4 linked regions of the Tamandua tetradactyla genome follow. The protein of the gene in region 1 purifies or fractionates together with the protein of each later gene. This does not show direct contact. Links are inferred from orthologs where the notes say so. Each region holds a gene or a part of one and is shown in the gene's direction. Other genes may lie near its edges. The genes, in order: DHX9, RALY, ELAVL1 and PABPN1.

Evidence for each region.
Region 2: the proteins of DHX9 (region 1) and RALY purify together in Homo sapiens (affinity purification with mass spectrometry; 3 studies listed by BioGRID and IntAct, with this or other methods). This does not show direct contact. The link is inferred for Tamandua tetradactyla from reciprocal best matches to the Homo sapiens genes DHX9 and RALY.
Region 3: the proteins of DHX9 (region 1) and ELAVL1 purify together in Homo sapiens (affinity purification with mass spectrometry; 3 studies listed by BioGRID and IntAct, with this or other methods). This does not show direct contact. The link is inferred for Tamandua tetradactyla from reciprocal best matches to the Homo sapiens genes DHX9 and ELAVL1.
Region 4: the proteins of DHX9 (region 1) and PABPN1 purify together in Homo sapiens (affinity purification with mass spectrometry; 4 studies listed by BioGRID and IntAct, with this or other methods). This does not show direct contact. The link is inferred for Tamandua tetradactyla from reciprocal best matches to the Homo sapiens genes DHX9 and PABPN1.

What each region holds. Positions count from the first base shown.
Region 1 is NC_135330.1:37,702,012-37,709,798, forward strand, and holds the start of DHX9 (ATP-dependent RNA helicase A), read left to right. Parts: upstream 1-4,771; 5' UTR 4,772-4,917; intron 4,918-7,552; exon of another isoform or gene 7,553-7,691; intron 7,692-7,787. UniProt on the Homo sapiens protein: Multifunctional ATP-dependent nucleic acid helicase that unwinds DNA and RNA in a 3' to 5' direction and that plays important roles in many processes, such as DNA replication, transcriptional activation, post-transcriptional RNA regulation, mRNA translation and RNA-mediated gene silencing.
Region 2 is NC_135327.1:18,996,620-19,004,624, reverse strand, and holds the start of RALY (RNA-binding protein Raly), read left to right. Parts: upstream 1-4,994; 5' UTR 4,995-5,359; intron 5,360-5,697; exon of another isoform or gene 5,698-6,095; intron 6,096-6,471; exon of another isoform or gene 6,472-6,667; intron 6,668-8,005. UniProt on the Homo sapiens protein: RNA-binding protein that acts as a transcriptional cofactor for cholesterol biosynthetic genes in the liver. Binds the lipid-responsive non-coding RNA LeXis and is required for LeXis-mediated effect on cholesterogenesis.
Region 3 is NC_135337.1:84,443,759-84,451,166, reverse strand, and holds the start of ELAVL1 (ELAV-like protein 1), read left to right. Parts: upstream 1-4,408; 5' UTR 4,409-4,510; intron 4,511-7,408. UniProt on the Homo sapiens protein: RNA-binding protein that binds to the 3'-UTR region of mRNAs and increases their stability.
Region 4 is NC_135340.1:31,562,672-31,570,109, reverse strand, and holds the start of PABPN1 (polyadenylate-binding protein 2), read left to right. Parts: upstream 1-4,437; 5' UTR 4,438-4,650; coding exon 4,651-5,001; intron 5,002-5,112; exon of another isoform or gene 5,113-5,218; intron 5,219-5,364; coding exon 5,365-5,479; intron 5,480-6,169; coding exon 6,170-6,237; intron 6,238-6,529; coding exon 6,530-6,636; intron 6,637-6,840; coding exon 6,841-6,928; intron 6,929-7,016; coding exon 7,017-7,168; intron 7,169-7,438.

The sequences.
Region 1 (7,787 bases):
CAACTAAGGGGCGTGCCTTCCACAATGAGAGATGTTTAATCCAATCAGTTGAAGGCTTTTAAGGGAGAGGTGATGACTTCAGCAGTCAGAAGAGAGAACTTTTGTCTCTACTTCAGCCAACCTGCCTCTCCTGGAGAATTCCTGGAAAACCTTCATTGGAGTTGCCAGTTTGCAGCCTGCCCTATGGAATTTGGATTCATGTATCTCCACAGTTGCATGAGACACTTCTATAAAATTGCATACTATTACAGATGTCTTTTGTTGGTTCTGTTTCCCTAGAGAACCTGACTAATAGAGGCGGGGACCAGCCTTACTTGTCTGAGTCCTCACACTGAGTCCATAGGGTCTCAGAGGTTTTTGGAATGAATGAATGAATGAATGAATGGGGCCTACACAGTTTCCTACAAGAGACTTGGAATATAATCGATTAATTCCATAAAAAGATCATTTTATATGGAATAATTTTCCTGGACTTACCAAAAGGAAACAGTTGGTATTGCACTTCTGTATGTAACATATTTTTCCTGCCCATTGTGCCTCCATCTCCTCTTTCTTTCTAATAGAACCTCCATTTCTCTATTTCCCATACCTCAGGAAAAGTGACCCTATGTCCTGATCAGAGGTAAATCCCAAATTATTTAAGCCAGCCATGGAAATCCCATTCCCTATAAGTGACTGGTTTACAGGTGGGCATGTGATATAAATCTGGCCACCTAGATGCATAGATCTCTTCTTCCTCTGGCCGTTGTTGAATCCAGAGGTAGATTGCTACAATGCTTTTGTAGTCATGAGGGAGCCAATCTCAGGACACAGCCAACATACTGAGAATGGCAGAAAAAACTTGTGGACCTTCATGTAACTGCTGAATTAACCAACCCTGAAGCTACCCTACGTCAAGACTGTGTTATTATGTGACAATAAGTTTTCCTGGCTGTTTTAGCCTTTTCTAGCTGGACTTTTAATTACTTGCAGCCAGAAGCAGACTAAACATTTTGCTGATCTTCCTTGACACTATTTTCAACTCTCTAACCTGCACCTCTTTCAGATCGAGCATCCCTTACTGTTCACAGATTCCTAAAATAGATCATCCTGTTGCCACTACCACACCTGACTTTATGTAACCCTAAATAAAAAGTGGTTTTGCCTTATGAGTTTTGATGCTTTGTTGCTTATTGCTTTAAGTTTCATGACTAATAAATCTTCATCATAGATTTTTACCCTTTATCATTGTGCTGGTTTGAATTTGTGGACCCCAGAAAAGGCATGTTCTTTAATCCTCATTCAGTATTGCTGGGTGGAAGTTTTAAAATTATCCATGGAGATATGACGCATCAAATTGTGAGTCACATCTAACTTTTGATTAGATGATTTCCTTGGAGATGTGTCTCCACCCATTCAAGGTGGGGTTGCTTATTGGAGCCGTTTAAGAGAGAACCATTTTGGAAAGAGCTACAGAGCCCTTGCAGTCAGGCCTTTGGAGATGAAGAAGGAAAACGCTCCCCCCGGGGAGCTTCATGAAACAAGAAGCTGGGAGAGAAAGCTAGCAGACGCTGCTAGGTTCGCCATGTGCCTTTCCAGTTGAGAAACCCTGAACGTCATTGGCGTTCTTGAACCAAGATATCTTTTACTGGATGCCCTAGATTGGACATTTCTATAGCCTTGCTTTAGTTGGGACATTTTTGTGGCCTTTGAACTGTGGACTTGCAATTTAATAAATTCCTACTTTTAAAAGCCGTTCTGTTTCTAGTATATGGCAGCAGCTAGCAAACTAGAACAATCATCATAAAGTGTCCTTCCCTTCTCTTTAAATGCTTTTGTAGTTGAATTCAACATTATTTGATACTGTCATTTTCACCCCTTCTTCATGTTTGTTCGCATTTACCTGTAATGTCTTTATCCACCCATTTTTCTTCTTTAAGATCAGAGATTATGATGTCGCCAAGAAAATAGGATTTAGTGTAAATGAACTCATACCAGAGTAGGGGTAACCTGCACTTACTAGTCCCCAGGTATGTCCCCCAGGTGTGTAGCTTTTGGTATTAGTCTCTGCACAAATTGGATTTGGCTGGATTGGGGTAAAGAGTAGAATTTCCTCTTACATGCCTTAATACTTAGGACCTACATCCACCATTCAAGGACTTGCAGTAGAAATCTAGTGATTTTTAAGACAATGTTTTTAAAAAACTATCAGACTTTCTTTATTCCTGAACCAAATCTTCATCATCAAGGCTATATACCTTCATCTATGGGGAAAAAAAACAGAGTTATTCCTAGATAGTTTTGAATAAGTTCATTCCCACCTTTTAAGGTTTTTAATTAAATATTTACATTACATTTTATATGTGTAAGGTATAAAGATGAATTTATATGGTTTGTGATTTTTTTTCTCATGTCTGGCCATTTGATTATTTTGATGTGCTAATTCAGCCAGTTTCTTCCTTTTGCCTAGGATTTGATTGTGCACTGACTGAGTGGTAAGGCTCTTTTCAAATGCTTGGTCCGGCTTATACTGAACATTTAAAGCAGCCTGTGTTTAACAGTTCAGATTTTCTTAGATCTTCTGCACCTGTCTTTCGCTCTGGGCATGTGCTGCAACTCTTACAATTGTCCAATTAAGTGTGACTGTTTCAGCTCTAGGAAAAGATTTATTTTTCTTTGTTCCTCCTTCAGGAGTCCTGAACTATTCTGTTTGTTCTTTTTGCAAATTTTCCTTCCCAGAAACTGTGATTTGATCAACTGCTTTTCCACTCCAGGACTGCCTTTGCATTACAGTTTTTGGTCCTCTCTCCTCTCTGCCTTAGAGCAGTTTAGTCTTTCCCTTTTTCCCATTCGGCTCTTCTGCCTCCAGTAACTTGCACATTAGAGTATCCCACCCAGGGAGCCAGATGGGGTTGGTGTTCAGAAATGCCCATTTTTCATTTAGGTGCACCAGCAATTAGAGACCAAGTTGGGAGTGTGCACCCTTTGCCAACCCTTCCATCGTGGGTCACTTTGTTTCCTGTTTCCTGGGGGCTGATTTTTCTGAGCACACTTGCTGACTACCGGATTCCCCACTTTGGTCCCTGTGTCTAAATGTGTACAGAGATCTAAGTTACTGCTGTGGGTGGCTCTATGGTCAATGACCATGGCAGGAGGTGCCCAGGCCAGAGTGCTTCCACTGAGTGACTCTTAAACCACATAAGACCCAGTGAGGTAGAAGATCCAGATAGGCAGGTCCGTGCCACAGATTTTCTCTTTTCCTTTTGGTGCTTTTTTTTTTTTCTTCGATTCAGCATTTGTAGAATCTTTTCCCAGATTTTCGTCTTCCAGAGTTCCAGGTGAGTGGTATGTGCCCTTTTATTAAATGTCTCTAAGAGGAAATTTCCTAGGGATAGCTTATGCTGCCATTATGATGATGTCACTTCATTAAGTTACCTGGCCCAGGAGTCAGAGAAACTGAAGGAGAAGCCATGGCAAGGTGCAGCAGTTGCAGGCCCAGCTGTTGCCTCATACCTATTAGGTGAGTCTACTGCTCAATGTCTGTGAGCTACAAGATGGTTGCAGCTTCCTTTCCGCCTCCAGATCTCCCTTATTTGGAGATTTGAACCTTATTAGGGTACAAATGTACAATTTTAAAGCCATGAAAATGTATCCACATTAAGGCATCAGGAGGAAGATACCTTCTCAGAGGAAAGGCTGCTGGCATTGGGGTTCCTCTGTCACATGGGAAGGCACATAGCAATGTCTGCTGTTCCTTCTCTCCAAAATTTCTCTGAACTTCTGTGGGCATTTCTCTCAGCTTTCTCCAAAATGTCTCTGCCTTTTATCCTCTCATAAAGGACTCCAGCAAGAGGATTAAGACCCACCTTGAATGGGCTAGGTCACATCTCTTCATTGAGGAGAGCAAACACATGATGAAAATAAAAGATGAGTAAATGCTAAATTTTGTTGTTCTCATTATAAGTGCATTAGAGTTTTGAAGAAGGGAGTGATCACCATGACCTAGAAGGAGTAAGAAAAAATGTAATGAAAGAAGCGAAAACTAAGGATGGATAGTTATGATGGGTCCAGAGTATTGATTGGTCTATGTTTTCCGGAACAACTCAGTTTGAAATATCTTGCAGTGTTGCACTAGAGTTAAAAAAATTTAGCAGTAGACTATTGTAATACTTAAGGATACAAATTAACCCAAAGATTCTGAATACAAAAGGATATCCAATTTAAGCAAAAATGGCCTTGCATGTTTTATTCATTCCTTCAACTCGTACTTACTGCGCAAGTGCGATGTGCCCGGCATCATAGTGGGTGTCCTGAGCTAGTGCAGTGTCCCTCCCTTCACTGAGCGTATTTCCTTCTCAGGAGACATTCACGATCAGAGTAACTGAATCACTTAACGATTGACAGCAGCTACTATTTATTGAACACCTATTATGAACCAGGTAGTGTGTTAAGCCCCCTTAATATGCCATCTCATTTAATCATCACAGTAACCTAATGAGGTGAGCACGGAGATTTCCAGTTCTGTCATCTCACCAGAGGTACCTAGGACAGAAGCTACGATATATATTGCTACATCTAAAATATTAACGGCCCCAACTCCTAAAATGTTAAAAAGCGGGTGGCGTGTTACTGGAAGAAGTCCCGCTAGGGCACCTCCGGCGAACTTAGCGGGTCTCCAAGGCGACGGGATGCAAGCGCAGCCAGATTGCAGCAAGCTCGCCCCCGGCCTTCTGGCGCCTTCGCCCACGCTCGCTTTCTGCGCAGGCGTACGCGTACTAACCCCGCCCCGCCCCGCCCCTTTCCTGCGCAGCGGTCGGAGCCATTCCGCCGCCGTTTCCATGCTAGCGTTCTCGCGGTTTTCTGCTTTCGTCGTAGAAGGCCGGAGCCACGGTCAGTCCTGAGAGGGCTGTGCTCTTGAGCACCCTAAAGCGGTATTCGGTAAGGAAAAGGAGCCCTTCCCTCATTGCGGGGCAACAGTGTCGCGGGGCGGCGGGGAGGGACCCGACGTCGGTGCAGCCTTGCTTTGTTACAAAGCGCGGGTGCCCATGGCGGGTGGGGGAAGGGGCGAGCCACCCCGCCAAGTTCCCGGATTGGGGGTTGCGTCTGCCGCTGGCCGCAGCGCGCTGGCCCTGTCCAGGGCCGCGGTTATGGCGCCTAGGCCTTCTCCCAGCAATTCCTACCCCTGTCTCCGAGGTACAACCCGCTTCTCCTTCGATCAGCTCACGTTGGGGGCGCTGTCGCCGCGGAGCGAAAGGGGAGTGAGTTGTCGGGTCGTTAGCCCGCGGCGACGCACTCTCCTAGGCCCTTCATTCATTCCCTCACGACACAAATATTCGGCGCCCTCCTGCAGAGAGTGGGTAGAGCATCACACAGGTTAGACACAGTCCCGCCGCTTCCCTCAGAGAGGTTTGTGAGGGGTAAGCGATTGAAAAATATTATGAGGAATTTAGAAGTGTAAAGGGAGAGAGTTATTTTAGGTCGGGCGGCAAGGGAAGGCGTCTAGGGGAGGGGGTAGACATTTAAGGTATTATCTGAAGGCGGAGATTGCGCCAGCTGTGAAGATGAGGAAAAGCAGAGCTGCAGAGGCAGGAGGGATTAGTTGACGCTTAAAGGCCAGAGACTAAAAAGGAACCTCAAGAAGGGGATGTGACTGGATTGTGGCAAGAAGGATTTAAAAGAATGAATTTTAGGTGGCAAGAGTGGAAGCAGTACTCCAGATGTGCAGTGCTGGTGGGAGAGATGGACATAAGCAGATATATTGCAGACATATTTGGGAAGCAGAATTGTAGTGGTAGAGGGAAGTAAATCTGGAGTCAGACCTCCTTGGTGGAATTCTGGCTCCTCCGATCACTAGCTCTGTCTTCTTCAACTGTGAGAAGGGGATAATAATGGTTATCTAAAGGCTCTAAAGAGTAAATAAAATAGCTCATGTAGATGATCCACTAAGGAAACTAGCCCATATTAAGGTGCTCTACAATGAATAGTTATGGCAGTTATTCAGGAGGTAGATGACTCCTAAATTAGGTTAGTTTGGTAGTTGGATAAACTTATGATCTTGGAGCTTGAAGGGAAAGGACTGTGCTTTCAATATATAGTTGATGCTGAATATTGTGGAATTAGATGAGACAACTTAAGGAGAAAGGAATTTGATAGTGTAGTTCGTATTTCATGTTACTCAGGGCTTGTTTTTTGAGTTAATTATTCAGGAATGGAATTTACAGGTAGACCTCTTCAGCTTTCCACAGCTTTTCTGTGATAGAGTGCTCCTTCACCAAAACAGCTGAGCAGGGTTAGCCCATGGCTGCACAGTGACCATAACAGGATTATACTAGTGTCCGGCTTAAATGCATTAAACGTAGATGCTAACAAAGTGCACTAAGAGTGATCCTAAACAGGTGTAACCTGAGAAAGGAGGTTTCTCTTGGCTTCAGACTAAATTCATAGCATATTTTCTCTGGTCTAAATTTGGTTTCAGGTAAATTGCTTATAATTACGACTCAGACGTTAGATTTGTAGGCTCCATTTATTTTGGTATCTATAAGCTGGAATAAAGGGGGGACGCTAACAAATAAATGTTGCACTTCAAGAAACTTGGTATCTTCAAGTTTTACAAGTAGCAAGGCCTAAAGGAGAGAACTGGTTCAACTCCCATACCTTCAGACAAGAGACTTTTTTTTTTTTCATAGAGCGATGAGACACCACCAGAGGATTTTTAGCAGTGTAGTGGTAATAGCAGACCTTCAAGCAAGTGGCAAGGATAAAACCAAGTCTTCTCCCTTGTAATGGTCGTTCTTCCTTACATTATTACTTCCATTGTGTTAAGAACAGGAAAAAAGATACCTGTAAAGTAGGAAATAGGACTCTCTCAATAGGCTTTTCTACTGTATTTAAATTTTTTTTTAATATTTAATTTGGTACAGGTGTCTTGGAAGAGAGGCGGTTTATACAGGAGCACTTGTAAAGTCATGTATTCTTTAGGGGAGAGGTCAAAGTGACAAGGCCATTTTAGGGCTAATTGGACATTTAGGGATACTTTAGAAACATGTAAATATTTGAGCTATATAGGTTCTTGTTTTCAGTTCAAGTACTGAATACTTACTGCATTTGGACTTGTTTTTGTTTGCTAAACTGCCAAAATGCAATATACTAGAAATGGACTGGCTTTTTTTTTTTTTACTTAATATGTACAATTTAAGTTTTACACACACTTTATGTTCAGCTTTTCTCCCTAGAAAGGCAGGGAAGGCATCAGGCAATCTCAGTATATGATCTCCAGTGCAATCAATAGTTTAAGCATAAAAACTAACACAGAATCTTTCTTTTTAAATTAGCCCAAGCTTTGCTGGCCCATCACAAGGATACATTCCAATAATTTTGGAAGACATAGAGGTCTTAGCAGCATTAATCAGGCAATCTCTTCCAAGTTTATCTGTATTAATAATTAGGTTTTCACTGATATACCGCACTGCTTCCCTGTTTGAAGTGTGGGGGAGAAAAACACTTATAAATTTACTATTCAAATTCTTCTGGTTTTATCGAGTTTAGTACATAGTACTAAAATGTCACAGGCACTGGTTTTCTGTTCAGCCATTTCATATAGAAGAAGGACACACAGAAAAATCCTCCCTCTTCAGATCATGGCAACTTTCATCTATCCCATAAGCATAGCCACTAAAATCTATTAAGAGAAAAAGTGGTAGTCGAATGGGAATGGACTGGCTTTTAACAGTATTTATTAGTTTATAAGTTTACAGGTCTGAGGCTTTGAAAATGTCCAAATCAGAGTATCAACAGGATGATACCTTCTC
Region 2 (8,005 bases), on another chromosome or scaffold:
CTGCTTGGTTTGTTGTTGCTTCCCTTCTTTTGGCCTCAGCTTTCCCATCCATAAAATGGGGATGACAATGTTCCTATTCTTGCAGGTGCAGGAAGCACTTGAGAACTCTGTGGAGCTAAGGAAATGTTACTGAATGTGATTGCTATGTTGACTTTCTATTGCTGTGTAACAAAGCACTCTAAAACTTAGTGGTATAAAACAACCATTTTACTTGCTCATGAGCCCTCCATCTGGGCTGGACTCAGGTGGGCAGTTTTTCTCCTCATTTGGCTGGTGGTCACTCTTGTGCCTGCATTAAGGTACCAGACTGGCTGAGAGCTGGGTTTAGCAGGGAAACTGCTGGGATGGCTGGACTTCTGATTCTCTCCATGTAGTTTTAGAGAATCCTTCCTATTGGTCTCTCCAGCATGGTAGCCAAACTTCTTATCTGAAAGCTCAGGGGTCCAAAGAGTAAGCATTACAAGAGGACTAGCCCCGGGGTACAAGCATTTATCAAGCCTCTGCTTGTATCCTGACTGCTAATGTCCCACTGGCCAAAGTAGTTGCATGGCCAAACCCAGAGTCAATGTGGAAGGGGGCTACATGAAATCACAAAATCTGGGAAGCATGGTTCCTTGGGGGTCACCCAAATTAACAGTCTACTACAATTATTTTCATGGTATCTGACCAATGGCTAGGGTAGGGAGAGTGGGCCTTCACAGCAGGGTGAAATTTGATAGTTCCTTAGTCTCCCTACTTAGATTTGTCTCTCCTAATGAACTGGCCCAAAATTGGAAGTTTTCCCTTACTTTACAGCATTGGTCTGGTAAGACCAGGCTTTCAGAGAACAAATTAAGTTTCAACCCATGGTGTCAATCCAAATGATTGGTATGGCTTTCTACGTGTGGGAAGGGTTCTACCGCGGGTAGAGGGTTGGAATGCCCTGATTGGCCAGCCTGCATCAGGTCCCATCACCAGGGCCTAGGGGAAAGTGGCCATTTCCTTCTGCAGTAATAATAAAATAATAAATACATTAAATGAGTGTTTACTATGTGATAGGCACTCTTCTAAACATCTTATGTGTATCAACTCATATTATCCATCCAACAGCTCTGTTAGGTAGATATTATTTTCCACATTTCTTAAATGAGAGGTAGAGAGGTTAAGGAATTTTCCCAGATTCACAAAAGTAGTAAATGGCAGAACCAGGATTCAAACCCAGGATGTCCAAATTTAGTATCTTCACTCTTTATAAAGTTTGGACCAAGAATGGGAACTGGGGGTTCATTGGAAATCCAGGCCCTAATTCCAAGAAAGGGAAATTATACAGTGCAGGGAAAAACAGTATCTAGAACTTACAATCTACTTCAGGTGGGATTCTCTTCATCTCAGTGTCTCCTGTTTGGATCAAAAGCTGAGAACTTCTAGGACCACCTGGTTAAGAAATCCTGAGGTACAGCAAATAAGAACATCTGAGAACTCAAAGGTACTAACATGTGGCTGAGAATTTTTAAAAGGATATGGAGGTGTCATACAGATGACACATATGACTAAGAGTTGGAGTTGTGCAGCTCTGAAAGTCAGTATTCTTACATAAAGCAACTGTAAAGAAGCCAAAAAAGAGATCAGACTTCAATTAGAGATAAAACAAAGCTGATCTGGCTGGGACTAAGATAAATCAGACACAGGGTAAAGGATGATGGTGTTTGTGTTTTACAATTTCATCTACTGCATGAGACTAAAGGATGAGAGGTTTATTTTGTCCAAAACTTAAATTTTCCATAGCACACAATCTAACTTAACCTATCTGGCCAGTTCAGTTAAGCAGCCTAAACACATGGAGTCTAGCATTGGGAATGAGGTCTTGCAATTCTGTATAGCTTAATATAATACCCAGATACATTCCAGAATACGTTGGGCAGATAATTAAAAAGTAATGGCAAAATCCCTCGAGGGACTGAAGAAAAATTACGGAACTATTAAACTTTCCCACTTGGGAAATCTGATACTGTCTCAAACATTAGGAACTCCCAAGTTAATAAGCCAGGCCCTTGATCTTGAGGCTTGCTCTTATGAAACTTATTTCTGTAATGGAGAAGCTAAGCCTACCTATAATTATGCCTAAGGGTTACTTCCAGAGAAACTCTTTAGTTGCTCAGATGTGGCCTCCTCTCTCTCTTAAGTCCAATTCTGCAAGGAAAATCTTTACCTTCCCCCCTACGTGGGACATGATGTCCAGGAGTGTACGTCTCCTTGACAATGTGGGACATGACTCTCAGGGATGAGCCTGGCCCTGGTACCACGGCACTGATAATGGCCCCTGACCAAAAGGGGGAAAATGTAACAAAATAAGGTATCAGTGGCTCAGACAGTTCAAATAGAGTCAAGAGCCTTTTCTGAAGGTTACTCTTATGCAAGCTTCAGCTAGATATTGCTAATTCCCATGGTATGCCAAGCCCCAACCAACAGTATTCCTATAACTCCTAAAATATACCCAGGGCTCTATCTGAGATTTATAAAAAGTTTCCCTCACTAAGTTTATTTTTCAGAAACCTACAACCTCCTGATGGGTCCCTAGGCCAGATAATCCCCCAAACTCAGAGTTACCAGTATCTTCACGAGCATCAACCAGTTGCATCCCCATACACCATAATGTTGAAACCCTTCTTCAACATGAAGTTAGATGGTTCTTGCCCAAATATCCCTACAGATTGGGAGAAGGATAAAAGGAGGAGGAGTTTTAACGGAGAAAATAGGATTTAACAAATGAAAATGACTACCGAATCATTATATTGATATTTCTTCTTAGTCTCCAGTGTCTTAGAGCAGCTAGAAGGAAATACCTGAAGCTGTGGGACTGTAACCCATACCATACTTTGAAATTCATACTGTAACTACTTGTTAAAATGTACTTTGAAATCTATTTTTTTGTGTGTGTTATATTTCACAATAAAAAAGTTTTAAAAAAAGAATATGGAGGAGTGGATTTGGATAAAGAAATGGAGAACACGAAGGGGAAATGTGATGGATGACATCTGCAGAAATGCATCTCGGAGACTAAAGCCTTTCTGAATATTGGGAGGCATGGGTGGGGTGGGAGGCCTCATAATCATTTCCTGGGTACATAATCCTTTTTGAGTAAGATGCTCTAGAGATGCTTTTTCTCATTAGAACAAATGCCACATACACAAAGCCTTATTCATTTTATAATTTCTTTGAATGTGCTTGAGCATGTGAGCCCTTAATGTCAATTTCAATTAATGCAATGCATATGATCTTGGTGGTGCAGCTAATGGATTGCAAAGAGGGGCAGAGGGAAGGTCACTTGGACTGGTACTCTCTCTGTTAGGAGGTTTGAAGGCTGAGGTGAGAGAGGCATTGGGAGGGAAGGTCTGAATTTGCTCTCCCTACTTAATGAAGCCCATACTTTGAAGATGCCACCCTGTCTTTTGTTTGATAAGAAAAAACGGATTTGGAGACCCCTGGCAAGACAGACAGGAGAGACAAGGGCCCAGGGCTGAGCTGGTGAGGACCAAGAGAGACATAATATATTCTTTCATTGACTTAGGAGAACCGTCCTCATAACCTTGAACCTCTCCCCCACCCCCCTCTCAGCCACCAATTGTGGGTTATAGTTTCACAATTTCATGGAGCAGATTCTTTCAACCTTGACACTTGATCATTCCAAAGCACCCTCTGCTCAAAACCGTTCAATGATTCCCACTGTCTGTCAAGCTTAGCAAAGAAATCAGTTCTTTCCAGAATCTAGTTCCAGCCTATACAGAAGTGTAGATCTAACTGCTGATCGGGCAGAGCTACAGCTCTTGATTCAAGTTCTGCTCAGAGTAGAGAATCTCGTTTTTCAGGTAGATTCTGGGGGAAACGATATGATAAATACAATCATGAAATCGCAGGCCAGATTGGATGAGACATGGAGAATTTTTCTAGTCAGTTCCCAGTTTTCAAGGAGGTCCATAACTGAAGACTGAAAGGCACCAGTCCTTTTGTGCTCTCAGAAAACTCCTCTGGCTGTTCTGTGGAGGCTGGGGCTTGGGGATCAGAGACTCTGGCGAATGGACTAGTGATCCAAGTGAAAAATTCAACAGCGGAGATGTTTAGGAGGGAGAACCACCACTCAGATCAAGTTAGAAAACATTCCCTGCAGCCAGAAGTATAAAGAGACTTACTTGAATTTTACCTTTATATATTTTTTAAGTCCTCCCCCAGAGTTCCACCGTCACCGCAGCCTCTTCCCCTAGTTCCAGCTTAGACATGAAGCCCTAGTGCCTGGTTCCTTGAAAATTAAAAGACCTTGTGCTTCTTCTCTACTTCCTCTTTTCCGGATCCCTAGAGCATTGCCTCCAGGCGACGAGTTTGAGCCCCATCCCCACGCCCGGCTAACGCCAAGCACCACCCACTCAAACCTTCTTTAGGTCACGCCTCCTTCCGGCTCCTCCCGAGAGTCTCCACCTTTCGGGCTCCTCCTCCTGGCTCTGCTTCCGGGCCCGCCTCCTCCGGTCCCGCTTCAATCGTTCCTTCTTTCGTGGCTTCTCCTCAGCCCCTCCTTCTTCCAGCTTCTCTTGGTCTTCCTCCACCGTGACTCCTCCTCTGGGTATGGCCGCCCTCTAGGCCCGAGCACAGCCTCTCCTTTCCAGCTCTGAGGGAGCTCCAGGCTCTCCGAGGCCTCCACTACTTTCTTTACCTCTCTTGCGCTCCTCTTGTTAGGGATTCACAACCCTGCTAGCCTTGCCCCACGTTCGGCTCCCTACTAGTACAAGCGAATCCCTCTTCCCGCCCTTACGCGGGTCCCCAGGCTCCCACCTCAGTCCCGCCTCCCTATCAGGCCCCGCCCCTGCCCCGCCCTTTGCCTCTCCCCGCGGAAGCTCTGGACCTTTCCAAAGCCGAGCCGAGGGGTGAAGAGAGCCCAGGCGTTGGGGGCGGGGCCGGTTGTGCCTGGGCGAGGTTCCAATCTCGTTGCACTACTGTCGTAGCATCTACCCGGGAGACAGGAGTGGAGGGGAGGGAAGCCCAGGTTAGGACTAGGGCGGAGGGCGGGGCCAAGCTGAGGGGCCCTACCCCTGCGCGCCTCAGTGGTGTAGGCCGAGGGAAGGACTCGCGGCTGCGGAGCTCGCGCCGCTGTCAGTATAGCTGGACGCGCGAACGGCGCGGGCTCTGGGCAGATCAAGCCGCGAGAAGCTGTGGGGGCGGTAGCGGCGGCGACGACGACGACGCCGCAGACGAGGGCTCCCGCGCTTGTGTTCAGGCTCCTCACGCCGCGGTCGGGGCCGCCTCCCTCTCTCCCTCCCTTCATTCCGCCCCCAAGTGCGGCGGCACCGCCTCCTTCCTTGCCGAGCTTCTCTCTCCAGATCTCTTGGCGCGGGTGAGTGGGAGCCGCGGGCGTCTCCTCAAGAGAGTGTGTGAGTGTGTGAGTGTGTGAGTGTGTGTTCCTGTGCTTCTTTTCGGTCGCTCACCTCTTCAAGCGGGCCGTTACCTATTTTTAGAAACTCTTTTTCTGGTCATTCCGGAGCCCGGAGAGCCGGAGTAACTCCAGATCCCCTCCTTCCGCACATTCCCTGTACCCGAGCCCGCCGCCCCGTGTCGCCCGCCCCGGCAGTTCCGCGGCCCGGGCCTGGGCCAGGAGTTGGCCGGGTGGGCCCGCGCCGGCTCGGAAGTTGGAGTCTTTTGTGTTTGCGCCCCGCCCCGCTCGGCGAGGGGAGGAGGGAGTGGAGCGGAGGCCGCGCCGAGGAGGCCTCGGCGGGCAGGGCCAGGACTCTGGCCCCGGGCTTTTTTCCGCCTCCACACTGCCCTGCTGTCCTCCTAGGCTGGGTCTGTGGATCCCTGAGACGGGTACAACTGGCCCTGACTCGACCCTCGGGGGCCTGAGCGCCCCCGATCCTACTTCTCCCGGTCCTGAGCTCATTGGTACACCTGGGGCTTGGAGGGGAACAACCACAGGCCTTCGAGCTGGGGCGTTATTTCGCACTTCACGCAGTGCTCTTCGCGGCCCAGCCTGAGTTCGCGCCTCGGTGAAATGGGGGAAAAATGAAATTCGTTTCACAGGGTGTTTGCGTGCTCGATGAGGGAACTAATAAATGAGAACTGTTTAATACCAACAGGTAAATTTAATGAGACTTGATCATGTGCTAGGCCCCTTGCCAGGTATTTCATAAGGCGTTTTTTCATTTAGTGCTCACAACGGCCTTCTGGAGTTATTCCCATTGCACAGAAGCAGAAATAAAGGCACGGAGAGACTAGTTTGCTCCAAAACACCCTGTAGCCACAGAAGTGTAAGGCAGTGATGCTAATACCTGTTATTTATTTCCTAATGTGAGCATGTATAATCCCTAGTGCAAAAGGAGTTATTCCTGGATCAACCATGAGTTAGGGGCATTACTAGGTCCTTCCTGACTTTTGGGCCATTTTCCACATGAAATACCATTCTAGGCTACCAAAACTCCGAGGGAAAGGAGGATAGAATGACTTTCTGCTTACCTTTCCTCTAGAAGTTGGTGGATGCAGGGAACTCCAGGTCTCAAGCGTAACTGAAATTCCCTGGGACTTTGGCTCAAGGAAGGTGTAAATCCAAGTGAAGTCTGTCCATAATTTTGTTCATATTATGTTCCTCCTCCATTATCTCCCCTCTTCATTCCAAACCTTGCATTTCTCTGGTGTTTAGATTTACAGATTTCTGTGGGTTAGGGGTGACAAATCATTTACTCAGGTCTGCTTTCAAGTAGGGTTTTATTTCCCTTATTTTCAGATAAGGCCCAGAGAGCTTAAAGTGAACTAAAATTAGCTTTGGGAAGTGTTTCAGTTTTCCAATATGTTTGATTTCCAGTATGTATGAGGAGTCTGAAAATCAGGCAGGGGAGTTCCTGAGCTGAATATTGAGGGGTCTCTTAGGAAGGGAGGTCTTACCCTGATATTTGATGTCTGTCTTAATCCCTTGGAATCTGGTAGGTGTACTGTGCTTCCCCCTCTGCATCCCAAGAATCATGGTAGGGAGGAATTGTTCCCCTTTCTGTATTAATAGTAAGTTCTAAATTAAAACTGCCTTAGTGATAGAACAAGAACTAGAATCTCCAGTCTTCTGCCTCTCAGTTCAGTAATTTTTATTTCTGCCTCATGAAAGGGCATTTAACCATTTATTCAGCCCTGGAAAGACCAAGAATCTTGAGTGAATGGAAATTCCAACGAAGTTGTGTAGTCCCAGCCACTCTCTATGCCTCAGGTTTAGCAGTAAAAGGCCAGATTTTGTGCACAGGTATACCATTTTTTATAAGTTGCCACTTTTGTTTTACAGTACTTTATAGTTTACAGCACTCTTTTGTAACCATCATCTGATTTCATTTCTAATTCATTTCTGTGAGGGAGTTTACTGAGCTAGGTTTGTATTGCCATTTTATTACGTGGAAATTGAAATACAGCAAGGTTAGGGCACTTGCCTTAGGTCATGCAGTTAAACAAGAGATGGGGCAGGACATCTCTCAGGCTGAGGATTTGATTTGGCCTCATCAAATGAGCCACTCATTGTGACTCTAAGCTTCGATTTCCTTATCTGTAAACTCTCACAGGATTGTTGAGGGTTTATGAGAAAATGGCTGTGAAAGTAGTTTGTAGTGTTAGTAATAATAACTAACACTTATTCAGCATTTGTCATATAGCAGGTACTGTATGTCTGTGTCTCTTTTAATCCTCAGAGCAAACCTCTGCATTAGATACTGTTATTATCCCTGTTTTACAGAAGAAAGAACAGGCTTCTGGATGTTACAGGACTTGCTCAGGGTCATATAATTTAGTAAGTGACAGAGCCAGGATTCAATTTGCAGACAATATAACTTGTGCTCTTAGTGTCTTCCTTAACCTACTGCATCTGCAGCAGGGCATGGCTTACAGTCTTAGAGCAAGAACCCATGCCTTGTGGTACCTTTGGTTAAGTTCTCCCCTCTGGATTGAAGCTCATCACTGAAGCCTTTTTTCTTTTTTCAAAGATGACTGCTGACCCCTTCTCTATTTTCGGAAGAAA
Region 3 (7,408 bases), on another chromosome or scaffold:
AGGTTGTAGATATCACACTCCTTGAATACTTTATACTGCCATATATATTTCCTAAAAACAAGGATATTCACTTATACAATTATCAAGTTCAAGGAACCTAACATTGATAGAAAGCTTTCAGTCTATATTCCAATTTTCTTATATGTTCTAATAATGTCCTTTTGGACCTTTTTACCTCCATATTGTGCTTAACTGTCATTTTCTCTTTGGTCTCTCTCTCTTCCTATCTCTTTTTTAAATGTGGTAACATATATACATCATAAAATTTCCCACCTCAATCACTCCCAAGCTATTCAATTCCCAATGCTGTGCTACCATCACTACCTTCCAATAGGAAAACTTCTCTATCTACCCAAGCAGAAACCCTGCACTCATTATATTTCATGCAATTTTCACAGGTCACAAAATATTATTCTTGTTTTGATTTTTTTCAACCATTAAAAGACGGTAAAAACAACACTCAGCTAGTGGGCTGTACAAAAATAGGTGGTGGGGGGCAGGCCTCGGTGGCTCAGTGGCAGAGTTCTCGTCTGCCATGCTGGAGACCCGAGTTTGATTCCTGGAGCCTGCCCATACAAAAAACAAACAAACAAAAAAAGGCAGTGGGCTAAATTGGTTTATAGTTTGCCAACTCTAGGACTTCGGGATAAAATCCCAACGGCTCTGCCTACCCCCTCAGGTCTCTTTGCAACAACATCCGGACATTGGTCCAATTTCATCTGGCCATCCTTTTCCTTCACCACCTGTATCCCAGCACCTCCCACAACTCACTTTTCAAGAGCAGGGACCTAGGCCGAAGCATCTTTGTGTCTCCTGACCTCACAGACCTTCAATAGCTTGTGCTTAAGGAACAGACCAGGACTTAGAGGGAAAGCAAGAACAACATGGAAACATAGTGACTTGAGTGTACTCCTCAGGTACTTAGGGTATTCCTCGAGTACTTCCTACTGTAAGAAGGAAAACTACACTTCTTACAGAAAAAAAAGAAAAAGGAAAAAAGAAAGCAAGAACTTCCTCTCAAATTCAAACCACAGAAAAAAGGATCTCTGTGACTAGGCAGACCTGAGTTCAAATCCTGACTCTGTCACTCTGTGCACTAGATTATGTGTACTCATGCAAGTCACTTCTGGTTTTGCTCTTAGGACTGAGTCTCAACTTACAATGGTCAACGAGGCCCCGTGCAGCCCACCTCTGCCAATCCCATGAGTCCTTCTCCTGTCCGTGTATTCTATGTGTGCCAGCCTCCAGCCTGCCTCAGGGCCTTTGTACTTGCTGTTCTTTCTGCCTGAAGTATTCTGCTTCCTCTTTGCTTGGTAACTCACCCTTCATGACTAAGCTGAAACACCAATGACATGGGAAGCCTTCCTTAGCCATCCTAAAACAAAGTCAAGTCCTCCAGTTATATGCTTTGCTGATGGCCCAAACCTCTGTTAGATTATAATTAGTTGTGCAATTTATTATAATAAGATATAATAAGCACATTATGCCAGATCTTGTTCTAGAGATTCTAAATGGGTTATTTCACCTAACTCTCACAGCACCTTCAGGAAAATTATAATCATCCCCATTTTATAGATGGGGAAATTGAAGCTCAGAAAGACAAAATAATTTGTCCAAAGTTGCACAGTTAATATACGTTGGAGCTCTGCTCTTAAACCAGTCTCTGTAAGCTGACTCAAAGTTCTGTGAGGGTAGATGCCATGTCTGTGTGGTCACTGTTGTATGCCTAGGGCTAGCACCTGCAACTAATGCTAATGTGACATGCCAGTAGCAACAAGTACACCTAGTAATTAGATTTTGGTATCTAAAACCATTTCCAATAAATGGAACCTGGGATCCTTGAAGAAATGGCTGATTCAAGAACCAGGGCAGGAAAGAGACAAGGTGAGCCCAGAACTTCTTGCTGTTCCAGGGAGTAAGAAAATGCTCTAAAACAATAATGCACAAAAACACACCGTTGGGGGTATGGCAGAGCTCCCAATGGCCAAAGCCAGTACAACGTAAGCAACAAAATAAAGTTGTTTTGAGTATTAACCCAAAGCATAAAATAAATATTCACAAGTCCCTAGTGATCTAATTAAATGTTTGACTAAATTAATACAGGGTGGAGAAGAGAGGAATCTCCCATGCAGAAGAATTCCAAACAATTTATATGGATACTCCACCCTGAAGGAGGGGGAGCATACTGCCCCATTCCTTAAATATGGGTTGTGCTCAATGCCTTCCTTCCAAAGACACAATAAGGAAAGGCTGGGGGAAAAGTAACCTCACAGTGGAGAAACTCAACAGAAGCTACCTCAGCCAGGTAGCATCAAGGCCAACATCCACAGTCAAAAATAACACTAACAGCATGTCCTCTTGATAAGATGATGAGAAGGGCATTTTACTTCAGTGTTTTTCCTTCTAAGAACCTGTAATCACGTTCTTATGAGAAACACATCAGACAAATCCCAGGAGAAGGATGTCCTACAGAACACCTGACCAGTGCCCCTCAAAAGAGTCAAGACTGTCAAAAACAAGGAGAGGTTGAGAAACTACCTTGGCCTAAAGGAGACTAAAGAGACGTGGTAACTACATGTTATGCAGAGTCCTTGATGGGATCCCAGGACAGAAAAAGGACATTAGGGAGAAACTAAGGAAATGTGAATAAGTCTGGACCTTAGTTAATGAGAACAGGTCAATATTGGTTCATTAATTGTAACAAACGTATCTAAGTAATCTAAGCTGGTTCTAATAGGGGAAACTAGGTGTGGGGCATATGGGAACTCTACTATCCTCACAGTTTTCTTGGAAAGCTAAAACTGTTCTAAAAAATAAAGTCTATTGCTACTACTACTAAAAAAGTATTGCTATATAACCAAAGGGCTTCATCATTCATCATGGTGACAATGACTTCAAGGATTACCTGGGAGGACGTGCATAAAGCATTTAACACAGTATGCACTCAACACTGAGGGCTTGCTTCTGCCATACTAAACTTAGGCTATCTGCTGCAGGAACTATTCCCCTATGTGGCTATGTATATTTAAATTCATTAAAATAAAATGCAATTAAAAATTCAGTTCCTCAATGGCACTGGACACATGTCAGACACCCAAAAGCCACATGAAGTTACTGGTGACTGAATTAGACAGTGCAAATGTAAAACAGGCCCATTATTCCAGATGGCTCTACAGGACACTGCACTAAACAATGAATAGCATAATTATTTGTCCATTGTCCTCAGCTCCTTCAAGTTCTTCCTCCAGTGCCATCTCCTCAATATGAGGCCTTTCCAAGCACCCTCTTTTAAAATGCAACCCCTGTACTCCCCATCACCCTTCTTCAGTTTGCTTTTCTCCTTACCACTTTTCACCACTGAATGTGGAATCCACTTGATTGGTTTCTTTTCTCCCCCTGGGTCTACACTGGCAACGTGTGCCTCTTGAGTTCTTGAAATGTGGCCAGTTGGACTTGAGAAGTGCTGAGACAGATTTTAAAGACGTGGGGGAACAAAAAAGAATTTTAAAAGGTCTCGTAATTTTTTATATTATTCTACGTTGAAATAATAATGTTTTGGACATCTCGGGTTAAATAAACATTATTAAAATTCATTTCACCTATTTTTCCTTTTAAATTTTTGAACGTAGCTACTAGAACACTTAAATGACACGTGGCTGGCATTTGTAGTTGGCTTATATTTCTATGGGCAGCGCTGATACAGAATGCCAACTACAAGAACATTTAAAATTACGTTCGTGGCTCACATCTGGCTTTTCTGGACAGCGCTCGTCTAGAACGTCAGCCTAATGAGGGCAGGATTTCTTGTCTGATCACTGCCCCTACAGTGACTTGCACACAGTAGGCGCTCAATAAAGTTTTATTGAGTGAATGTTAGACTGAGCCTCTGGGAGCTCACCAGGTCCTGACCAGGTCCAAGGCCCGCCTCCTCACCTCATCAGATAAGGAAACTGAGGCCCGGCGAGGTGACGTCAGCCCCTGTCCAATAGTACGTACCGCGGAAACGTCTGGGCCGGGATTCGAACCCGCGTCCAGTCCCCTGTAGTCTGGAGTGGTGACTCTTCCTACCTGGCAGGGCGGCGGCAGCGGGGCAGACAAGCTCGGGCCACAAGGCAGGGATTCGACAAGGATCCCTTTTCTCTTTCTCTGCCGACCGGGACTTCCGTGGGCCCGGGCCTTAGCTCTCCCCTTCGCGGCCATCGCGGGCCACCGAGTATCACCGCAGGCGGCACCGGCAGGAAGTCCCGCCTCCCCCGCGCGCCTTGAGCACCGCGACAGCTGCACTGGCCAATAGGAAGAGCGCCGTGGCAGGCGCCGGCCAATGGGCGCGCGCGCCTGGGGGGCGTGTCCGGGCCGCGGGCCGGAGCGGGTCGTGCGCGCTGAGGAAGAGCCGCCGCCGCCGCCGCCGTCGCCGCCGCCGCCGCTACCGAGGCCGAGCGGAGCCGTTAGCGCCGAGCCGCCGCCTCCCGCCCGCCCCGGAGCAGCCCCGGGCCCGTCCGCCCGCGTCCAGGTGAGATGGGAGCCTTCGGCGGCGCCCGGCGATGTAGGCCGCGCCAGGCCTGAGCTCTCCTGACCGGGCCGCGGGCGCCCGCGGGCCTGCACCGGCCGAGGGCCAGGCCGCGCCAGGCCGGGAGGGGACGCGCACGGGCCGCGGGCGAGTGGGGTCCGGCGGGTGTGAGCGCCGGCGACAGGCCCAGGGCCGGATTCCTCGGCCGTCGCGAGGGTGGGCGAGGGGGACACGGCGTGGGCGCGCGCCTGGCGGCTGGGGCAAGCGCTCGGCCCCAAGGCCCCGGCGGGCTTGGAAGCCCGGGATCCGGGGGCGGGAGCGTGAAGCCAGAGACCCGGGAGTGGGGTGAGCGTCAACTGCGCCTAGAGGTCACGGCCCGCGAGCTCGCTCCCCCGGGAAATCCTACAGATTCTTTTGTGGACTGCGACCGATCCGGAGTCCTTTTCGAAGTGTGCAAACCCGTTAGTATGTATGGGAGTCCTAGAAAAATATTTATTTTTGGGCGCCATCTCTAACAAAGCTGTTCACGGGGCGTGGGACGTTAAGATTTGTAAAATGTGTGTGTGTTGAAAACACAAACAGCACGCAATTGAACAATGGGGGATGGATGCTTTTCTTTCCTTTTCCGGTGTTTTTTGCTAGGTTTGTTAAAATGGGTTCTGATACCTGCTGGATATATGGCGGGTGGGAGAGAACTTTGCATGTGCTGCCCCTGGAGAGACACAGCCCCTACCTTACTAAAAGTATTCAGGTAGGAGCCCGATGGCCAATGCTCTAGAAGTGGGAACACAAGGAAGATGATGGGACTAGAAAAGGGTTGCCTAACCTCAGAACTACTGACAATTTGGGCGGGATAAGTCTTGGTTGTGGGGGCTGTCCTGTGAATTCTAGGATGTTTAGTAGCCTCCATGGCCTCTTCTCTCCAGATGCCAGCAGCATTTCCTCTTCCTACTCCCCCACCCTACCCTAAGCATGAAGATCAAAAATGTCTCCAGACATTGCCAAAAGTCCTCAGGGGGTGCAAAATCGCCCCCGCCCCCAGAATGAGAACCACTGGACTAGATGAACTTTCACTAAGAGGCCCCCAGTCTCCATTCTTCACTCTGTCTCCCCAGGATCCAAGGCTCCTGAGACCATGGACAAACTCAATTATTGGAGCCTTAGCTTACTTCTCTGTGAAATGGAAAGGCTGAGAGTATTAAGGTGTGGATTTAAGTCAATTATTTGGTAATCTATTGTGCATGGCCTTTGCATGGTGGGCACTTAATAAATGATGTTGTAAATAATCTCCAGTATTTATTGAGAACTTATTTTTGCTTAACATTGCACAGACATCTCCAACCCTTGATTGCTGTTATAATTTCCATTTTACAAACAAAAAAAAAATGAGCAGAGGTGGGACACTTGATAATGGCCAAACTCACACAGTAAAGTGGCCAAGTTGGGACTTTAACTTGGGCCCTCTGACTCAAAAGGCCCCATTCTTAACCACAGGGTTTTACTGCTCTTATCATCTCAGCAGCCCAGGAGACCCAGAGAGACAGTGTTTCAAGGAATTCCATTCAGTTATCATTGAGCACTCCCTGTGTGCTGGATTCTATTATAAAATTCTGCCACCTCAAGGTCCACAAAAAGGCTGAGATATATGAATGTCTCAAAATGTGGAAGGAAAAAATGTTTATGTTGAAGCCCTAGCTTGGGAGGTAGGCAGAATTCCATTTTAGTTGTGTTGATTCTGAGGTCACAGGGCAGCAAGTAGAAAATGAGAGGAGAATTAGGAAAGTGCTCTTTCTGCTGTTCGCTCTATTGTCTCTCACTCAGGCCATGTTTCCTGCTTCCTGTCTCTATCCTCTGTCCACAATCCAGCAAGGATTGTCTTTTTAAAACAAGGATCTGATCATGACACTCCTGATTAAAAGTCCTTGGGTGGGGAAGAAACAGTTGAACTTTTTGAGTGGCTTGCAAGATGAAGTCAAAAGTCCTCAGCTTGGGGCTCCAGGTCTTTCATACTCTAATGCTCTCTTCCTTTCTGACCTCATCTAAACTCTGGCCCTCTCTGTTGCTCCCACTTCCTGAATGCTGTTCTCTTCCACCTGGAGATCTCTTCCTTATGCTGCATAGCCCAGCTCAGAGCTCACTCACGGCTTGAAGCCTTCTCCAACTCCCACCCTTCCTCCACCTCCACCAGAATTAACTGTTCCCTCACTTGTGCCCCCATCCCATTCAATTTTCATTTGAATCCAATTAAATGCTAGTGAGAGAAGTGCAGTTACACTATTTCACCCCTAGATGGCAATAGTGAAGCAGTAAGGCCTTGGGACAGGGGAAGACCCAAGGAAACCAGCCTGTAAAAGGGAAGTGAGTTTTGCTTCCCTCCTCAGCTAACTCCCCCTGATCTGCTGTTGTGTCCCAGGCTTGTCAGTGGAATATACAGGGTGTATGGAGATCATTTCAGTCCGCTCTGGTGAGTGCAGTGATAAATTATGCACTGGCTTCAGGGAAGCACAGAAAAGGGCACTGTTAACCAAGACTTGGTGGGCAGAAGAGATGGCAGAGACCTTCTGGAGGAGGCAAGGTGTGAGGGCTGGGGTGGAGTTAACCAGAATCCTTCCACAATGGGGAAGGGTTTTGATGGATGCAGGAACAGCATGAGGAAAGACACGGAGATGGGAATATCTCAGTTTCTTCAGGGAACCTGGGGTTTGGTGCTTGAGGGGCAGGTAAGAAGGGTGGAAGCCAGTAGAGGCAAGGTGAGTGGGATGAGTCAGGCCCAGTTGTGAAGGGCTTCACATCTGTCTGTTGTATAAAGAGTTCTCCTTAAGGCTGGGCCAGGAATGGCTATTGAATAGTTTTAGTCCACAAAGTGGGGAAGTCACATTTGCACACAGAAGGAAGAGATGG
Region 4 (7,438 bases), on another chromosome or scaffold:
ATAGAGATAAGTAAATGCTAAAGACTCCAAGGTTCTGTAACAGTACTGCCCAATAGAAATATAATGCAAGCCATATATGCAGTTTTACATTTTCTAGTAGCCACATTTAAAAAAAACACAAAAATCTGATAAAACTAATTTTAATAATATATTTAACAATAAAAATATGATCATCTCAGTGCATCATTAATATTAAACAATTATTAATGAGCTACTTTGCATTCTTTTTTTCATACTAAGTCTTTGAAATCTAGTGTGTATTTTAGGCTTTGGTACACTTCAATTTAGGCTAGCCATATTTTAAGTGCTCGATATTGGCCATCATTTTAAACAATGTGGTTCTATATCATAGAGAATTACTGTAGCCTATACAATTTGTAAAGCAGGATTTAAAAACAAGGATGAAATACCAAGGAGTCAAATATTTATGTTGTCTAGTGAGAAAACTGTTCCCTTCTGGATAGAACTCAATATACTCTGACCTGCTTTTTTTTTTTTTTTTTTTTTCCATATGGGCAAGCACCAGGCATCGAACCCAGGTCTCCAGTTTGGCAGATGAGAACTCTGCCACTGAGCCACTGTGGCCCACCCATGACCCAGTTTTTTATTGTGAAATATACTATACATAGAGAAAAAAAGGAATAATTTTCAAAGTACTTTTTAACAAGTAATTACAGAACAGATTACAAAGTTTGGTATGGATTACCATTCCACATTTTTGGGTTTTTCCTTCTAGCTGCTCCAAAATACTGCAAGCTAAAAGAAATACCATTATAATGATTCAGCAGTCATTCTCATTTGTTAAATACTGTCTTCCTGTTATAACTCCTCCTTCCACTTGATCCTCTTCCCAATCTATAGGGGTCTTTGGGCTATGCCCATTCTAACTTTTTCATGTTGAAAAGGGGTGTCAACACTATAGAATAAGGGGATGGAATTAGTTGGTATTCTTGGAGAGGCTGGCCCCTCTGGGTTTCAGGACTTATCTGGCCTAGGAACCCTCTGGAGGTTACAGGTTTCAGGAATGTAAACTTAGTACATGAAACTTTTGTAGAGTCTCAGATAGAGCCCTAGGTGTTCTTTAGAGTTGCAGGAATGATGTTTGAGCGGGTATGGCAAGCCATTGTAATTAGCAATACTTAGCTAAAGCTTGCATAAGAGTAGCCTCCAGAATAGCCACTGACTCTATCTGAGCTCTCTTAGCCACTGATACCTTATTTCGTTACATTTATTTCTTTCCCCCTTTTAGTCCAGAAGGCATTGTTCATCCCTCCACGCCAGGGCCAGGGTCAACTCTGGGAATCATGTCCCCCGTTTTCTGAACCAATTTTACAGTTTAAATTCTCAACTCCACAGAATACGTTAATGGAAGATTAATACATTACCACCACCACCACCCCACCCCTTTTCTAAGAAAGCAATGGAGTTTCAGGTTTTCCAAAACTTCATAGCCATCTATGTATAAGTTATTACTTAAGGAGAACTATACTCATAATGGGTAAATCTCACACCCCTGTTATATATAACTTAAAAAAAAATTCATCCCCAGATGAAAACTTATCTCTGATGTTTTCTATTTATTAACAGGCAGGATGTTACATAAATCCTTCATTACTGAGGATTATTTATTCAATTAGAATTTATTAGTAATGGGAATACAAATATAATTAAGATGGTGTTCCTGCCTTCTAAACAGTCTGATAGGGAAGAATCTTTCTTTACAAGTCACCACTCAAATTTTTAAATGTGAATATTTGTTTGTAAAAGTCATCATGCTTACTTGGAAGTTGGAGTGACTTTTATACTTTAAATAAAAATAATGACTGTGGAAAGATCATCGAACACAGAAAACTGTAAAGAAAATCAGTCATAATCCTACTACCCAGAGAAAACCACTATTAACATTTTGGCATATTTCTTTCCTGTCTTTTATCTGCGCTTCTATTTTATGATCATACTGTACATACATTTTGTATATGGCAATTCTGCTTACCAATATATTGCAAGAATTTTTCCTTGTCATTAAAAACGTTTTGAAGGCATATCTAATATAAAATTATATTGAATGTGTACAGTAGTTTTCATGTAAGTCCACACTTGGACGTTTACATTTTTTCACTGTGATGAACATTTTCACTCACAAATGTTACTTCTTTAGAACAGATTATAAGAATTACTGGGTTAAGAGTCTCAACACTTAAAAAACTGGGTACATATTGCTAATGTACCTTTTTATTTCTATGGAGTTTTTCAGAAAATCATACTTTATATACAATTTTACATTTTACCACTTTGGCCTAACAAAAATATTTTTTGTATGTTATCACACACTGTGTGTAAATCTTTTAATAGGTAGATAATAATCTTTGATTAGATATAATCATGGTTTACTTAAACGTTGTCTGTTACTGGAATTTAGTCGTTTTCCAATTTTCAGTATTACATATAATGTGATTTTTGCATATTAAAGTAAACCATAGAGTAGTTATGATTTGAGCTTAGAAAGTTGGCCTTGAATTCCTTGCTCACTCCTAAATAGCTTCATGATTGGACAAGATACTTTTCTTTAAAGCTTCTTCTCTAAAAAAAAAAAAGAGTATAGTTTTGGAAGCATCTACTTGACAGGGTTGTTTTAAAATTCAATGAGATAATATATTAAGAAGCCTAATGTGATGCCTGTTAACAAAATGAAATGCTGAACAAAAACAGGATTCAAAAGCATTTAAAAAAAAAAAAAAACCACCACACTTCCTATGGTTGGCTTGATTACTTAAGTCAGGCACCAATAAACGCCCAGGTCTTGATTAGATTTAAGTCAGGCACCAATAAGCGCCCAGGTCTTGATTAGATTAAGTTCAATATAAAAGACCTTTCTTTCAGCAAAATTGCAGTGGTTTAGAGCCTGTCTTCGGTGCTCAACTTCAGTTCTCTTAGATCGCCGATGGATGACGAAGTAATTTTAAGCACTTTAAGCAACTGTGATTATGCCTCAAGTCCTCCAGATCCTGAGGTAAGGATTCGCGAGAAATAGCGGGGGTGAACGGAAGGGTGGGGTGTACTGAGAAGCTTTTAGATTTCGTTCGCTAATAGGGCTATCCTCCTCTCCCAGTCCTCCCTACCGACCACCACCCCGCACATCTCATGGGGCTTGTTTAATGTTTTGGGGGGTTCATGTGAATCCAACTCTCAAACGGTGGCTTGGTCCTACTATCAAAACATCTCTTTCAAACTTAGCACTGAGCACCTTACTCACTGCTGAAATGTAGCCACCCTGCCTTCAGGGCTGGTGTCCTGGTGTCGTTGGTCACTGGGGGCGCAGCAGTAAGGTGATACTTTGCCTGGAGAACTTCTGGAGTCTGAAGGAGGGCTTGGGGTCAGGAAAGCGCTGAAGATTCAGGGTCGCACCCAGACTCCAAATAATGCATCCTTCGGTCGATAAATATTTATTGGACTTCATATTGTGCTATTTATGGTAATAGGTGGTGGACAAACGAATATAAATAGGATCTAGCCCCTCATCTCCAGGAGCTCACAACATAAAAAACGCAAAGGGACCTAACACGTAGTGGAGGTAGGCCCCCTTGCCGTGGGAGAAGAGAAGCAGGGGAAGGCGTCCTAGTAGAGGTGATGCTAGGATTTGCTGTGGGTTTGGAGACAAGACTGTACAGAGGAACACACCTGGGTGCAGGTACACCCACGGAACAAAGAGTGAAATAACCGGGTTCTGAGGGTCTCCAAGTTCGCGGTAAGGAGTAGAGACTACCTGGCCAGCTCGGTCTGAAAGTGGTACGGGTTATAGGTATGACACCGGAAGCCGAAAGACCCGTTTGCGGCTGACACAAACCGTCCAGGCAAGAGAAGAAACAAGATAAAACCAGGGTCGTGAGTTTAGAAAGGAGGCCTAACCAGGAGGCAGAACTCTCAGGTCTTGTGACAGGTGAATGGTAATGCCAATAATCTGAATGGGAAAAGTCAGCTCTCTCCTGGACTGTTCCATTCAGAAACCGCCACTTTCAGCAATCTCCCAACTACTGGTACTTCCTGGATAGGACACTAATTTCCAGAAGCCGCCGCTGTGTTTCCGGCCTCTGCCTTCCAACAGCTCGTTTGGCAACCAATAGAATAAAGATGGCGTCTCCCTAAGAGACTAGGTCATGTGACATCGCTTTTCCCTGGCTTAAGGCTGGCAGTCCGTTTGGGGTCAAGGTTCACCTAGTAGATAGCTGGTGTCAGCCCTTCGAATTTCACAAGCCAATGACATCTGAAACCAGGACACCGCGGGGGGCGATGGGCAGATTGGTTCGTTCCACCTCTCCTAGCTAGGGGCCAATCACAGAGCGCCGTACACTCCGCGGGCCCTCCGGTGGGCGGGGGAGAAGCAGGAAGGTCGTCACAGCGTAGTGGTATTGTTACCTAAGGACTTGAGAGGAGGTGGGATGTATGTTGATTGACAGACGGATTTCTCCTACCGGAATTAGAGAATTTGGCGCAGTGCTCCGCCTTAGAGGTGGGGTCTTATTTGATTGCCAAGTAATATTCCCCAATGGACTCCTAGCTCGTGGTGACGGGCAGGCCGCTTAACTAATGAATTCTCGGCGTGGCCGGCGCAGCTCTCCAATCGCCGGGCGGCGGGCCCCAGTCTGAGCGGCGATGGCGGCGGCGGCGGCGGCGGCAGCAGCAGCGGTGGCTGCGGGCGGTCGGGGCTCCGGGCCGGGGCGGCGGCGCCATCTTGTGCCCGGGGCCGGTGGGGAGGCCGGGGAGGGGGCCCCGGGGGGCGCAGGGGACTACGGGAACGGCCTGGAGTCGGAGGAACTGGAGCCTGGGGAGCTGCTGCTGGAGCCCGAGCCAGAGCCCGAGCCCGAAGAGGAGCCGCCCCGGCCCCGCGCCCCCCCGGGAGCTCCGGGCCCTGGGCCTGGCTCGGGAGCCCCCGGCAGCCAGGAGGAGGAGGAGGAGCCGGGACTGGTCGAGGGTGACCCGGGGGACGGCGCCATTGAGGACCCGGTGAGGGAAGGAGGGCGAGAGACCGAACCGGCGACCGGCCGGCCGGGTCATGGGAGGCCCAGAGCTCGGGCGAGTGGGAGGCAGGCGGGGGATGGGGGTGGGGGTGGGCGGGGAATAATGTAGCTGGGGCCGGACCGGGGAAGGCTCCTTCACCACCGGAGGGGCCCGTCGGGGTTGATTTCGGGCGTCATGGGTGCTTAGTGTTGTTCTAGAGAAGGTAGCTTGCTTATCTTTTCATCACGACCCCGCGTGGGAAGAGGGAAATGGCGAGCAGGACTGGGGCTGAGCGCTTACCGAGAAAAGGGTTTAGCATCCTGCATTGGTTCCTCTTAAGCTGTTCATACCCCTCCCTACTTATTGTAGGAGCTGGAAGCGATCAAAGCTCGTGTCAGAGAGATGGAGGAAGAAGCTGAGAAGCTGAAGGAGCTGCAGAACGAGGTAGAGAAGCAGATGAATATGAGTCCACCTCCAGGCAATGGTGAGTAACTGGTGGCTGCACGCGGAGCCCGCGTCCTCGGGTTGAAAAGATGTGTGGAGTACGTATGGCATTAGATGCTGCGGGTCTTGGAGCTCGTTTCTGAGCAGTTGATGGGCAGAGGCCGCGGTTATTGCTAATTTATGTGTTCCTCTGACCTTTGTGAAACAGATCCTATGTTTGGTTGATGGTAGTCTTGTGCTTTTCTTTGTCTTTGTTATAAATATGTTGCCCTTTGTTCTTAGTCTATCTTTATTCTTTGTGAAGGTTGCCAGCTGGCATTTGACCTTCAAGTCAAGGGGTTCTTCCTTCACTTGGGGACCCTTTAGTTAGTAGACGTTCTAAACGATTTCTGCTTAGCTGCAGGGGTCTTCCCCTTTGTAATCTAGAAATGTAGACTCTCATCTTAATTTCTTTAACTCCTTTTCAATAGGGACTTGATGTATAGGGGTGGTGGTGGTGGGGAATTCTTGTTCTCTCTGATTTTTAATAATGTATTTATTATTAGTCACATTTTTAGTGGCCACCCACTATGTTTTTGGCCCTGTTCTGGGTAATGGGTACAGCAGGAAACAGAACAAACTCAAATCTTTGCCTTCACTGAGCTTATATTCTAATAGTGATAGAGGGTCAGAGGATAATAGATTGGTAGAGTAGAAAAGAAGTGTGTTTTCTAATTGTCTTTTTTCAAAGCTGGCCCAGTGATCATGTCCATTGAAGAGAAGATGGAGGCTGATGCTCGTTCCATTTATGTTGGCAATGTATGTAGTAGGGCCCTGATTGTAGTTGGGGGAAGCTCTAATTTGTGGGAGTTACTTAATGGAAGTCTTTTGAAAAGAACATCTCCAGGATAGGAGTGGGAGGAAGTAAAAATTAATGATCAGCAAGGCCTCTGGGGTTGAGAGAAAAGGGGATTAGTTCCTTAGAGAAACAGATTTGATGTGCCTCGCTGTAAATGTATGGCCCCAACCAGAAGGTGAGGCAGTATGCTGAGATGGGAGTTGGAGTTTGCCCAGTTCCTGTGAAACATTGTCTCTCTCCTGTCCCCCTCAGGTGGACTATGGTGCGACAGCAGAAGAGCTGGAAGCACACTTTCATGGCTGTGGTTCAGTCAACCGTGTTACTATACTTTGTGACAAATTCAGTGGCCATCCCAAAGGGTAAGTAGGGAAGTAAATTGAGATCATTTTAATCATAGTTTAAAAATAAATATTGAACAATAAGTCACTTGCTGTTAAAACCTAGGGGTCTTTGTCCTAAATGTAAACACATTGAGTCCAAATAAAGTACATCAGCAAGTTGAATTTGACGTACAAGTTGCTGTTTGCAGCTTCAGAGAGCTAAAGTGACAATAACCTTTTCAGGTTTGCGTATATAGAGTTCTCAGACAAAGAGTCAGTGAGGACCTCCCTGGCCTTAGATGAGTCCCTTTTTAGAGGAAGACAAATCAAGGTAAGCACCATGCATAATGCTGTTCAGGTTGCGGAAACTTGGCACGTTGTCTGACCTGGGCTTTTTGTGGTACATCCCACAACGACAGGTGATCCCCAAACGAACCAACAGACCAGGCATCAGCACAACAGACCGGGGTTTCCCCAGAGCCCGCTACCGTGCCCGGACCACCAACTACAACAGTTCCCGTTCTCGGTTCTACAGTGGTTTCAACAGCAGGCCCCGGGGTCGTGTCTACAGGTCAGGATAGATGGGCTGCTCCTCTCTCCCCGCCTCCCATGAGCCCTGTATGCTTCCGTCTCTCATGATAGGAGGAGCTTCCCTCCCTTCCCCTCCCGTTGGTCTCCAGGGCCTTGGTCTCCTGCCTATGCAGAGTGAGGAAGGTAGTTGAAGGGAAGGCCAGTCTCGTCTTTTCTGGAGCAGGAATTGTGGTATTAAGGGCTGGATCTCTCCACTCTGTTGCGAGAGATGCTTTCTCCCCCTAGACTTTTCTGGTTTTTTTGAAAGTGG